Linked DNA regions of Mus musculus: regions 2 and 3 are each reported to be linked to region 1. The links are microRNA targets in miRTarBase. Many come from high-throughput screens and were not tested one by one. Region 1 holds a microRNA gene; each other region holds the end of a gene's coding sequence.

Evidence for each region. The annotated mature microRNA mmu-miR-3097-3p reads CUCAGACCUUUCUACCUGUCAG and lies in region 1 at 2,702-2,723, shown strand. An mRNA with a match to its seed (bases 2 to 7 or 8) in the 3' UTR can be bound and repressed. Matches are read on the target gene's strand: a 7mer-m8 pairs with bases 2 to 8, a 7mer-A1 pairs with bases 2 to 7 and ends in A, and an 8mer does both.
Region 2: miRTarBase lists Thap12 as a target of mmu-miR-3097-3p. Seed matches in the 3' UTR shown: 7mer-A1 at 987-993.
Region 3: miRTarBase lists Ifnar1 as a target of mmu-miR-3097-3p. Seed matches in the 3' UTR shown: 7mer-A1 at 1,571-1,577 and 7mer-A1 at 2,605-2,611.

Annotation. Positions count from the first base shown.
Region 1 is chr5:35,018,393-35,022,593 of GRCm38, forward strand. Mir3097 (microRNA 3097) reads left to right here and starts at 2,657; the gene lies at 2,657-2,723. Rgs12 (regulator of G-protein signaling 12) reads left to right here. Exons shown (of 17, transcript NM_173402.2): 5 at 951-1,120; 6 at 1,922-2,014; 7 at 2,724-2,867; 8 at 4,200-4,201.
Region 2 is chr7:98,716,303-98,720,503 of GRCm38, forward strand. Thap12 (THAP domain containing 12) reads left to right here. Exons shown (of 5, transcript NM_028410.2): 5 at 1-1,760. The coding sequence ends at 601. It overlaps Gm19656 (a long non-coding RNA gene), which reads right to left. Exons shown (of 3, transcript XR_869811.2): 3 at 3,054-4,201. Among named protein-coding and RNA genes, the nearest start is that of Gm19656, 8.7 kb to the right of the region's middle.
Region 3 is chr16:91,504,769-91,508,969 of GRCm38, forward strand. Ifnar1 (interferon (alpha and beta) receptor 1) reads left to right here. Exons shown (of 11, transcript NM_010508.2): 11 at 287-4,201. The coding sequence ends at 643. Among named protein-coding and RNA genes, the nearest start is that of Mir6367, 21 kb to the right of the region's middle.

The DNA.
Region 1 (4,201 bases):
GCTGCTTCCAGTCCCCTGTCTTCCTCTCCTCCCCTCCTTGCTAGAAAGGGCACTTCAGTGACTGATCTCAAACTAGAGCCTGCTAACTTGTCCCCAGGAATCTGTCCTGTGACCTGACCAGAGGGCAGAGTATCCTGAGTAGCCTGTCCGGAATGCTCAGAGCAGATGGAGTCCTGTGACTATGTGACGTAGCAGCATTTCCTTAATGATCCCACGTGGAAAATCACCTTCATCAGCTCTGCTGCCTGAGCCCCCTGACGGCATAGCCCCAAAGTGCCACCCCACATTGGGCTGGCCTTGTCTCTGAAGCTACCTGTGCCTCGCTCTCCAGAGCACCATGTGTAACAGTGCTATAGAGTTCTACTTACACTGGCTTGTGGCCCTCCCCTCATCCCTGGGCTGCTTCAAGTGACAAGGGTGATAGATGGGGTCTTCCTAGACACATCTCCTTTTCTTTGTTGTAATATTTTCCTGTATCGGGTCATCAGTGAATGAGCTACCAGATGACACATGGTTAAATACTCAGTTTGGATAGTGTGGCTTAATATCGTCACTGAAAAGTGATCTGCACACAGAAAAGTGCACAGGCAATGAGCCATGGATCCAAATTGCAGCAGACAGCACCAGGAGGGTGATGGGACCAACTGCAGCCCCTCCTCAGACTTCACTCAGGGGCTTTTGCTTTGTGGTGCACTTATAAATGCCTTCCCGCCTTCCGTATGCTCAGCATCATTCTTTCTGCTCTGTGTTGTATGCACACCTTAGGCAATAGCTTCTCTTGTTCAGCCCTGGGAAGTTGAGATGTGTTCTTTTCTGAAGTCTAGAAAGCCTTGGCTAGGTTTCAGGTGCAGTACATGTTGCTCAGTGAACAACATGGGTTGTGGGAAGTAGAGCTGGATATAGGTACCTGTGGCCTCCGAGGTGCAGGTATGTCTGTGATGATCCTGCAGAGTTGACTGGAGCTGACCTTAAGGACTGCATCAGCAACAACAGCCTGAGCAGCAATGCCAGCCTCCCCAGTGTGCAGAGCTGCCGGCGCCTACGAGAGAGGAGAGTTGCAAGCTGGGCAGTGTCATTTGAGCGTCTCCTTCAGGATCCTGTTGGTGTTCGCTACTTCTCTGTGAGTAAGGGGGACTGCTGTGGGGTGGCAGCACTTTGAGCCCGGGTGCTTGAGCTCACGGGGCCATCTCAGACCTCAGAGCCTGGGCATCACCTTGTTAGAGGTGTGGTCGTCCAGCACCTGCTCCAAGCTCAAGGATGGGGTAGGTAGCGTGTACACTTGTAGGGGCTGGCAGTTCTGTTTTCCCTTCCTGGCCTGCCTCCTGCCCTGGAGTTCCCTGCCGGCACACTTCCCTCTCACTCTCTCGATGTCTGTGCAGCAAGGAACATCAGAGTGTCTTGGCTCTGTGTGTTTGTTTTTTTTGTTTGTTTTGAGACTGGATTTCACTATGTTAGTCAGTCTGGTTTGGAACTCATAATCCCCCTGCCTTATCCTTCTGAGTACTAGGATTACAGTTGTATGACATCATCCTAGCTGGAGCTTCTTCAAAATTCTTGGAAATGCATGCTGACAAATACAGCTCTTAAGGATCCAGAAGTAGGGATGGAGCTGTGAAAGAGTGATTACGAGCAGCACGTGATAATAGTGTCAGTGATATGATGTCATATTTTATATGCTAACCAGAGACTAAAAATATATTTCTTTAAAAAAAAAAAAAAAGATGACCAGCCCTTGAGAAAAGAGCTGTGAGGCAGATGGCCCGCCCACTCACGTGTGCTGCGCAGCCCCTATGCCTGCTTTCAAGGCCCCTGCGAGGCTCCTTTCCTGCCATGGTGTAGACAAAGAGGGCCGGGGATATGGGGCTCAGCTTCATAGAGGGGTTGTGGAGTGACAACTGCTCTCCTTCCTGTGTTCCCTCAGGATTTTCTACGTAAGGAATTCAGTGAAGAGAACATTTTATTCTGGCAGGCCTGTGAGTGCTTCAGTCATGTTCCTGCACATGACAAAAAAGAGGTAAACTGCTCTTCAGAGCAGGGGCTGTGTGAGGACCGAGGTTACATCAAGGGTTGCTTGAGCAGTCGATGAGGGATGCTTCTTACTGACTTTAAAGAACGGTGACATTTCTGCTTCAGCATAAAAACTTAAGTGTGTGACATTTAATTCTGCCTAAACATAGTCTGCATAAATGCCTCGCCACAGAGCCTGGCAGTGGTGGCACTTGACGTTGGGTTGGGTAAGAAGGAACAGTGTTTGAAGAGACTTGGAGAAGCACTCTGGCAAACTGCAGCCTCTACCTGTGGCTTAACAGCACCTGTCTAGCTGCCCCAGGACTGCCCAGGCCATGTCCTGTGGCCTTTCCCCCAAAGTAACAGCTGTCCTCACAGAGTGGCCTCATGCCTGTGTCTTGTGCTCTGAGCATTGTGCACTTTTGCCCTCCCCTGTCGTGCACACTTTGCTGGCAGATCCTCCTCTGAGGCCCTTACAAAGCAGCCATTTAGAAATTTGCAGCCATTTAGAAATTTGTAGAGGAGCCGATTCAGGAGTTTCCTCCTGGCTCTTTCTTTTATATTTACTTTCATAAGCCAGACTATAGACAGGGCCTGTGACTCAGCTCTCCAGCCCCGAAGCAGAGTCAGCCTTAGGAATGTTTGAGTGACACAGGTGGGAAGTGTGTGTCCAGTGGGTGTGTCTACAGATCTGCTCAGACCTTTCTACCTGTCAGCTCTCTTACAGGGCCCGGGAGATTTTCAGTAAATTCCTGTGCAGCAAAGCCACCACTCCTGTCAACATTGACAGCCAGGCCCAGCTGGCAGATGACATTCTCAATGCACCCCACCCTGACATGTTCAAGGAACAACAGCTCCAGGTGACTTTGCAGACAGTCTTCCATGGGGCTTCCAGCCAAGGCTTGGGGGTGCAGAGTCACTCAGAGTAGCACGTGCCCTTCTGGGAAGGGGGCTGCTGGTCATGTGGGCATGGTGACAAGCCCATCTGACCACTGGGCTCCAGTCTCAAAAGGATTCAGTAGATCTGAGGAACAATAAAGCCTTTGCCACAGATAGCCCCATGTACCCACTGTCAACCGAAGTAAGGGACAATATTACTTTTCAAAAGTCTATGGGGCTGGTGAGACTGCTCAGCAGATAAAGGCTCTTGCCGCCAAACCTGACAACCTGAGTTTGATCATTGGGACCCACATAGTGAAAGGAGAGAATCAACTTCTATAAGTTGTACTCTTTAGACACGGACCATGGTGGGTGTACAACACACACACACACACTCTCTCTCTCTCTCTCTCTCTCTCACTAAATAAGTAAATGAATAAATAAGTATAAAAAAATTGTATGCACATTGGACACACTTGACCTACAGAACATGACAGCTACAGCGTGGCCACAACAGCACATTATGGAAGGTCAGTGGTCTTTGATGATTGCAGGGCTGACTCTGAGCAAGTTCGGTGTCACTTCCAGCATTTGAGAGCGGATGATAACTGCATTATCCCAGCCCAGAGAAAGCTTTCTATGAGCACACGTCGCTGCCACACTAGTGTACATCCAGAATGCTGTGGACCTGTCTGTATACTTACATGTTTACGTGCTTAGTAGCAGTAGCAGCAATTGTCATTTGAGACAGGATCTCACTGTGTAATTTCACCACCATTGACATGAAGCTCACATACTCGTGCCTCAGCCTCTGCCGGATCACAGGATGCACATGGAACCCTGTTTACATGTTTGTGTCTTAATTCTGGAAGAGCATGTGATCTGACCCGTCCAGAACACACTTCCCAGCCCTGCCAGCTGCTGTGCCGCTAGGTTGCAGGAATTAGCTTAAAACAGAGCAGAGCTTCCCCAGGCCTCACTTACCCTTGAGACAACTGCCTTCCAAGTTCCTAGGAAGTGAAGGCCTGCTAAGGGTGCAGCCACAGTCTTGAGTCTGCCTGCCCTTCTGGCTGTGCCTATGCCTATGACTCTGCTCTTACTAAGAGTGACAAAGGAGAGGCTGTTGACAGGGATCAGAAGGGTCCCTGGAGAGTTAATTAACATCTGAGTGCCCTGGGGCCCAAGGGAGGGTTGGCAGGAATGACACCCTTCCAAAATGTCACTCATTCATGGGTACAGACCTCCTATACCGCCTAGGACCTAAGGAGTTACCGTTCTTTCTGTGACTATACTGCATGGCATCTGCTCCACAGAT
Region 2 (4,201 bases), not on the chromosome of region 1:
TAACCTGGAATCTCAGCTAACCTCTGAGAGTTATTATAAAGACACTCTCAGTGTTCCAACAGTAGAGCACATTATTCAGGAACTTAAAGATATTTTCTCTGAACAGCACCTCAAAGCTCTGAAATGCCTATCTCTGGTACCCTCAGTGATGGGGCAGCTCAAATTTAACACATCAGAAGAGCACCATGCTGACATGTACAGAAGTGACCTACCCAACCCTGACACGCTCTCTGCCGAGCTTCACTGTTGGAGAATCAAGTGGAAACACAGAGGGAAAGATATCGAGCTCCCGTCCACCATTTATGAAGCCCTCCATCTTCCTGACATCAAGTTTTTCCCTAATGTATATGCTTTGCTGAAGGTCCTGTGTATTCTCCCTGTGATGAAAGTTGAGAATGAGCGCTATGAAAATGGACGGAAGCGTCTCAAAGCATACCTGCGGAACACTCTGACAGACCAGAGGTCAAGCAATTTGGCTTTGCTTAACATAAATTTTGATATAAAACATGATTTAGATTTAATGGTGGACACATACATCAAACTCTATACAAATAAGTCAGAGCTTCCTACAATTAATTCAGAAACCATTGAAAATACCTAGAAGATTTTAAAAATGGCTGTTATCTTATTTTGCTGTTTGGAAGAAAAGCTGTAAGGTATAGTAGGCCAGATAATGACTTGCTGATAGACCTCCAGTTTAACATACTATTAGCTATTGGTAATCCACGTGTTTAAATGGCCCCTGTTTGAACACTCATGCTTTCAATACCTGTCTGTTCTTCCAGAAGTTGGCATTAGGAGTGCCAAAATACCTCTGCTGGTGGCACTCTGAAAATGTTTTACTTAAAAGTCGTTTTAGGGGCTGGAGAAATGGCTCAGCGGTTAAGAGCACTGACTGCCTTTCCAGAGGTCCTGAGTTCAAGTCCCAGTGACCACATGGTGGCTCACAACCATCTGTAATGGGATCCGATGCCCTCTTCTGGTGTGTCTGAAGAGAGCAACAGTGTACTCATATACGTAAAATAAATAAATCTCTTAAAAAGTCATTTTAGATATGACATTATCACTGTCGATCCAGTTGTCAGTTATTAAGTTATCAGGTCTTTGGAAAATGAATTTTGTGAGAGAAATACATTTTATAATGTGTCATGATGAAAAACACCATTGACTTTGACTTGGAGTTTCAGGTGTTTCCGAGCTGTGGTAGCAGCACTTGGGAGGCAGAGGCATGAGGATGACAGGCTTTAGGCCTGGACCACATAGTGAGCCTGCTTCAAAGAACGAGTGAGGGCTGACTGGGGTGGAGCCTAGTGTGGAGCTCTTGCCTCAGTACTCAAAAGCAAAAAGAACAGCAAAAGTCACAGGAAGTAACGAGCAGCCTTCTGTGTAGATCCTGTCAGGGCAGAAGAACCTCAAAGGAACAAGTTACAGTAGCAGAGCCAGCCCTGCTGCTCCTCACTTGATTGCTGCTGTTTGCATTTCTTTGCTGAGCCCACATTTTCATAGGCTTGTTTGCTATTCACTTGTGCTTCATGGAGAAGAAAGACCCAGAGGCCATCCCTATAGGCAGCTGACTTGTCTGTTGTCTCCTTACATGACTGTGTCTGCTGCCTTGGCTCGGTTATAAGCAAAACCTACAGAAATAAATGTTTTGTGGTTTATCTAAAAATAATACAGAAAATATTGCTGTTATTTTTGGTGAATAAAATCAATTTTGTATAGTTTATTTCAACCTAAATAAAATGTGAATTTTGTTTAAATTTCAGGTGAGGTGTTTTTGGTGGGTCAGAATACATCCTTGTATATTTTCTTAAAATGGTTATTTCATAATCAGCCTCATGCCTTTTACGATTCAAGATGAAGTATTTTCTAGCTTTTCTCTTTTCTTTTTTATTTTTTGTTTGTGTTTTAAAGTGTAGAAAAATAATTAAAATCAAGAAGTTATTAAATGAGGACTGGGGTGGATCTCTTGCTAACATGTGCAAGGCCTAAAAGCAAGCTTTAAGTTTGCTCTTTTAACTGGTTTGCTGTGTATACATTATAGCCCTGCTATAGATTGTTGGGGCTCGTGTTTACTGTTTGTTGCTGGTTAGAATATTGCTGGGTGAATCGCATAATTGCCATAGGGCTATTTTGTGTTGAAGTGAGTTAATGTTATTTGACCTGCAAACAGCAGAATTGGATGCATGCATTGCAGCACTGGGTCAAGCCTGCTGTTTGTATCAAATAAGGACACACTACCTGTGCAGGTTATAAAAAGATGGAATTACTTTGTTGTTAGAGTTCTGTCCTTAACAGAGAGCTGATTAGTCCAGGGTGTCAGTGAAAGAGACCAGAGTTGGCCTGTTGTATGTATCTAGTTCTTGGGACTCTTACAAGTGTTGTGACTACCAGACTACCCAACCCAGGGCTGTTTCCTCCACCTTAAGGTTGTGCTGTGGGGATTAGGTAATTTGTTGTCAATGACCTGCTGCTGCCCAGACTTAATGGCTTAAAGAAACAATTTTACTTTTCACAGTTTTGAGGTTGGTTAAATGATTCTTTGCAAGCATTATGTGGGCTTTCTGCCTTTGGTTGGCAGGTTTGCTGGGTCTGGGTGGGATGGCCAGGTTTCTCCTTGTGGTCCTATACCTTACATCATTGTGGTTCTAGTGTACCAAGATGGCAAGGGAACCTTCAAAATCTGGACTCAGGAACTCACAGAGTATCACTTATACTGCATACTGTCAAAGCAAATTGTTTGGCTACTCTAGATGGAAGGAACAATCAAGCAAGTTGTCTCTGACAGCCCTAGTTGCAAAATGGGTCCTGTTTTCAGTCCACTACAACCATGTGTGCAGAAGCATTTAAAGGTGCCATCTTTGATGTTTGTGTATTCTCTGATTTGGGGCTCTTGGAAAGTGTGAAGGTCTCATTCCTGCCAGGCAGGCATTCTGCCAGAGCTGCACCCTGGCAAAACCCCAGTTAAAAGATGCATACAGCTCTTGTTTCTCTCTTGCTCTCTTGGGCTCTTCCCTTCTTCCCTCCCTTCCCTCCCCCTTTCCACGTGTTCATGGCCAGCCTCTATTTCTCTATTCTCTCCCCCTCTGCCTTTCTCTGCCACTACTACCCTCTTAACTCCCCTTGCCCTAAATAAACTCTATTCTATACTATTTTTAAAAAATGCGTACATGCCGGGTGGGGGGTGGGTGCATGGGGGTTTGAAGCCAGCCTGGCCTACATACTTTCTGACCAGCCAAGGTTACAATAGTGAAACCCAGTTCCAATAAACAGAAAAGGGATTTTCACAAATGTATCCTTGATAAGAGTTTGTGGTGGTTGTACAGATGAGAATTTCTATTTTCTAAAACTAGGTAATTACAAAATGGTAGCTGTGATAACTAATTATGTTACAAATATGCCAAGCTTCTCAACTAAGTATAGGCAGTAACCAAGTGTACTTACCCAAAGAACTTACAACCTAGATTTAGCCTATGAGTTACAACCACATTTTATTTTTTAAATATGTATTTTTATTTTAAATTGTATATATGGGAGGTGGGGGTGTGTGTGTGCATGTGTGAGTACGGGTGCCCCTGGAGTCCAGAAGGTGTTAGAAGCCCTTAAGCTGGAGTTAACAGATGGTTGTGAGCTGCTACATGTGGGTGCTGGGAACTGCCTGGTCTTCTGCAGGAGCAGTAAGCTCTCTTACCCACCCAGCCATTTCTTCAGCCTCCTCATCTGTACTTTTAAATACCCATGCACACAAAATGCACAACTTCAGTCGGTTAGATTTATTAAAGCAAAGGGAACAGAAAGTATCCATGAAAACCTCGTGGAGTTTGAACAAAAAATGTATCTAGACAGCTTGCAAAATGTCATAAGAAATATATTCAGGAATTAACATTTAATTGCAGGAATTTTTGCTCTTGACATTTACTCTCACTTCTGGGAGGAAAGTTACACAGCTGAATCTTACTGCAGGGTGGTGGCCCTATAAAACAGAGGGGAGTAGATCCGTCATCCAAACTTGCGTGTCATTTCTGTTGCATCGTAGGCTCCATGAGGTCAGTAGTAGTATGAGTTGGAAGAGGCCTCCTGGAGACCATTCCTCTGCAGTAGTTTAGCTGGATTTGGTTTGTTTTCATTTCTTCAGAGTGGGGGGCACGTGATTCTTCAGGAACAGGGAAGTTGTCCTTGTCGTGTTTGTTAATATTTATGA
Region 3 (4,201 bases), not on the chromosome of region 1:
GCTTTTGAGTGCAAGAGAACTGGGCTGTCACTTCAAAATGTCTGTGATCCCAGCACCCCTAACCCACCCTTGGCAGCACAGTGCCTGTGTGAGGATTCTTCACAGGTTTACCCAAAAATGGCCTTGAGCCCGGTGGCCTGCTGTGCCTTCTGAGCCTCACAGTCATTCCCGGGATAGCTCATATGTCGTGATGCACACTCCGAAAGGCTGGACATAAAACAGAAGCTAGAGCTGGAGATGCAGGGTTTATTTTAAACAACCTGTTTTCCTTCCCTTTTACCATCAGTTTTTCTCTGAGCCGCCTTCAAAAAACCTTGTACTTCTGACGGCTGAGGAGCACACGGAAAGATGCTTCATCATTGAGAATACAGACACGGTCGCTGTAGAAGTAAAGCACGCGCCTGAGGAGGACCTCAGGAAGTACAGCTCACAGACCAGCCAGGACTCGGGCAACTATTCCAACGAAGAGGAGGAGAGTGTGGGCACCGAGAGCGGCCAAGCTGTGCTCTCCAAAGCTCCCTGCGGGGGGCCATGCAGCGTGCCTAGCCCTCCTGGGACCTTGGAAGACGGGACCTGCTTCCTGGGAAATGAAAAATATCTTCAGAGCCCAGCCCTGAGGACAGAGCCAGCTCTTCTCTGCTGACAGGTGCTCGGCCCAGGCTGGGGGCCGTGTGGAGGAGACAGACTTATCTGAAGTGGCTGCCAGCTTCTGCTGCCAGCTGGAAGCCCTGGGTGCTGTTTGTGCCACAGATGAGGCTCACTGATGTCAGGCATCTGGTGGTTCTGTCTCGGTGTTTGTCCTCTAGGTGACATTTAGAACATTCCGATTTTTAATCCTGCCGTAGCCCCTCAGTGTGTCACAGGTACCATTGTCTACAGCCGCGCTTCCTAACCCATACCTCACCACAGCCGTGGCTTCTGACCAGAAGTCACTGAAACCATGGAGAAAGGGGACACTAACTGGAGGAGCTGGCGTTGTTTAAGATCTCAGTGTGGCCTGGGTGTGCCCGTTGTACTCTAGTACTTGCAGAACTAGAAAATGCCAGGGACAAAAAGCAGGCATGAACCATTCAGTAAGAGAGAAGCTAGTGAACCTGATGGTGAAAGAAGACCGTGTCCAGTCAGTGTTTGTGTGAAGGCCCTGTGCTGCTCTCTGTAGCCTTCCCGTGGTACTTATAAAACCAGGCCGAACCCTGTCCTCTGTCCGGCACTATTCAGGTCCCTTCCCAGCTCCAGGTACTTAAAAAACAAAGTGTTGGGTCCTGGGGTGAGGGAACAGCTTCGACGGCACAGTGCTGCCTGCAGGCGCCTATAAGTGACCTTAGATGAATGCTCCATGAGCATCTTCGGTAGGCAGGACATCCAGCAGTGCTGGTGGCTCCAGGGCAGACTCAGTTGCAGGCCAAAAAGGAAGAGAGAGGAGTCATAGCCCTGCCCCAATCGAGCTTGTTGCTCGCTGCACTGCGCCTTTGTAATCAATCTTGGTTTTTTTGTTTTGTTTTGTTTTTTTTAACTTTTAGGTGATAACATATTCTCAGATATAGCACACAAGAGACACTACACAAATTACGTCTGAAAGTTTTGATAGAAAAGAGCTTTTGACTGGGGTAGACAGCTTGCTCCTCACTACTACCTTGTATCTCAGTCTCCTCAACAGAGAGAGAATGCAGATTGATTTTCATCCTGAGTTTTATTTTCTTGCCCGGTTTCTGGGTTCGGGTGTGCTTTCAAGGCTCTGAACAGCTTGTCTGCCCACAGGGGAGCCCGGAGACCCAGCCTTTTGGCTAAATGTTGCAGGTTCCTGTACTTGAAGGACTCCAGCTCCTCTGTAGAGGGCATGGTCATCGCGGTCTGCAATCACGCTGATACCCAGAAAAATGGCCACACAACTCAAATCTGGTGCCACGCTTTAATAATTCTACCCAGCACGGCCCAGCCCTGTTCACGGCGGAAAAGCTCCTTCTGCCAGGACAGCCTGTGAAGAAACAAGACCTCCGAGGACGTGGCCAAGGAAGGCCCAGATGCTAGCGGGAAGTTGTTAGTTGGCACTCTTTCATCTCTCAACAACTGTGACACAGGTCTTCAGGGTGAAGCCCAAAGCAGCTATCGGTTGCAGCAGCGGGTAAGGAGGGGGCTTCACCTGAGCCTGGCCTTCTGGGCGAGCAGTTCTACCTGCACACTTCAAGACAGCCTCCATGACCCTTTTCACGGCACACCGCCTGCTTTTGGTGTGACCGGGGTTTCCTGTGCAGGCACATGTTCTTAAGGAATGCCATGCACACAGGCCTGAAGAGCTGGCTCAGCGGGTAGAGCACAGGTTGCTCTTGTCTGGGATCTGAGCTCTGTCCCCAGCACCCACAGAGTGCTTCTGGTTGCCTCAGACTCCAGGGGTGCACAAGGCCATGTAAGCAAAGACATGTAAGCAAAGACAGTTGTACACAGAGAAGTCAAACCTTTTTGAAAAAAAGAAACACCACGGGCTGGAGAGATGGCTCAGTGGTTAAGAACACTGACCACTCTTCCAGAGGTCCTGAGTTCAATTCCCAGCAACCACATGGTGGCTCACAACCATCTGTAATAGGATCTGATGCCCCCTTCTGGTGTGTCTGAAGATAGCTACAGTGTATTCATATATAAAATAATAAATACATCCTTTTTTTTCTTTTTTTACTATTGGATATTTTCTTTATTTACATTTCAAATGTTATCCCCTTTCCTGATTTACCCCCCTCCCAGAAGCCCCCTATCCCATCCCCCCTCCCCTGCTTCTATGAGGGTGTTCACCCACCCACCCACTCCCACTTCCCTGCCCTTGATTCCCCTACACTGGGTTATTTATCAAGCCATCATAGGACCAAAGACCTCTCCTTCCATTGATCCATGACAAAGCCATCCTCTGCAACATATGCAGCTTGAGCTATGTGTACTTCTTGGTTGATGGCATAGTCCCTGGGAGTTCTGGGGCAGTGGGGGGTTGGGGGGAGTCTGGTTAGTTGATATTATTCTTCCTATTGGGGTTGCAAACCCCTTCAATGCCTTCAGTCCCTTCTCTAACTCCTCTATTAGGGACCCCGAGCTCAGTCCAGTGGTTGGCTGCTAACATCCACCTCTGTATTTGTAAGGCTCTGGCAGGGCCTCTCAAGAGACAGCCATATCAGGCTCCTTTCAGCATGTACTTCTTGGCACCCACAACAGTGTCTGGTTTGGTAACGCTGTACGGCATGAATTCCGAGGTGGGACAATCTATGGGTGGCCTTTCATTCAGTCTCTGCTCTACACTTTATCTCCATATTTGCTCCAGTGAGTATTTTGTTCTCCTTCTAAGAAGGACAGAAGCACCCACACTTTGCTCGTCCTTCTTATTGAGCTTCATGTGGTCTGTGAATTGTATCCTGGTTATTTGGAGCTTTGGGGCTAGTATCCACTTATCAGTGAGTACATATTGTGTGTGTTCTTTTGTGATTGGGTTACCTCACTCAGGATGATATCCTCCAGATCCATCCATTTGCCTAAGAATTTCATGAATTCATCGTTTTTAATAGCTGTGCAGTACTCTGTTGTGGAAATGCACCACGTTTTCTGTATCCATTCCTCTGTTGAGGGGCATCTGGGTTCTTTCCAGCTTCTGGCTATTAGAAATAAGGCTGCTATGAACATAGTGGAGCATGTGTCCTTCTTACCAGTTGGAGCATCTTCTGGGTATATGCCCAGGAGTAGCATAGCTGGGTCCTCAGGTAATACTATGTCCAATTTTCTGAGGACCGGCCAAACTGATTTCCAGAGTGGTTGTACGAGCTTGTATTCCCACCAGCAATGGAGGAGTGTTCCTCTTTCTCCACATCCTCACCAACATCTGCTGTCAACAGAGTTTTTAATTTTAGCCATTCTGACTGGTGTGAAATGGAATCTCAGGGTGGTTTTGATTTGTAATTCACCAATGACTAAGGATGTTGAACATTTCTTTAGGTGCTTCTTGGCCATTTGATATTCCTCAGTTGAAAATTCTTTGTTTAGCTCTCTACCCCATTTTTTAATAGGGTTATTTGGTTCTCTGGAGTCTAACTTCTTGAGTTCTTTGTATATATTGGATATTAGCCCTCTATCGGATGTAGGATTGGTAAAGATCTTTTCCCAATCTGTTGGTATTGTTTTGTCCTTTTGTCAGTGTCCTTTGCCTTACAGAAGCTTTGCAATTTTATGA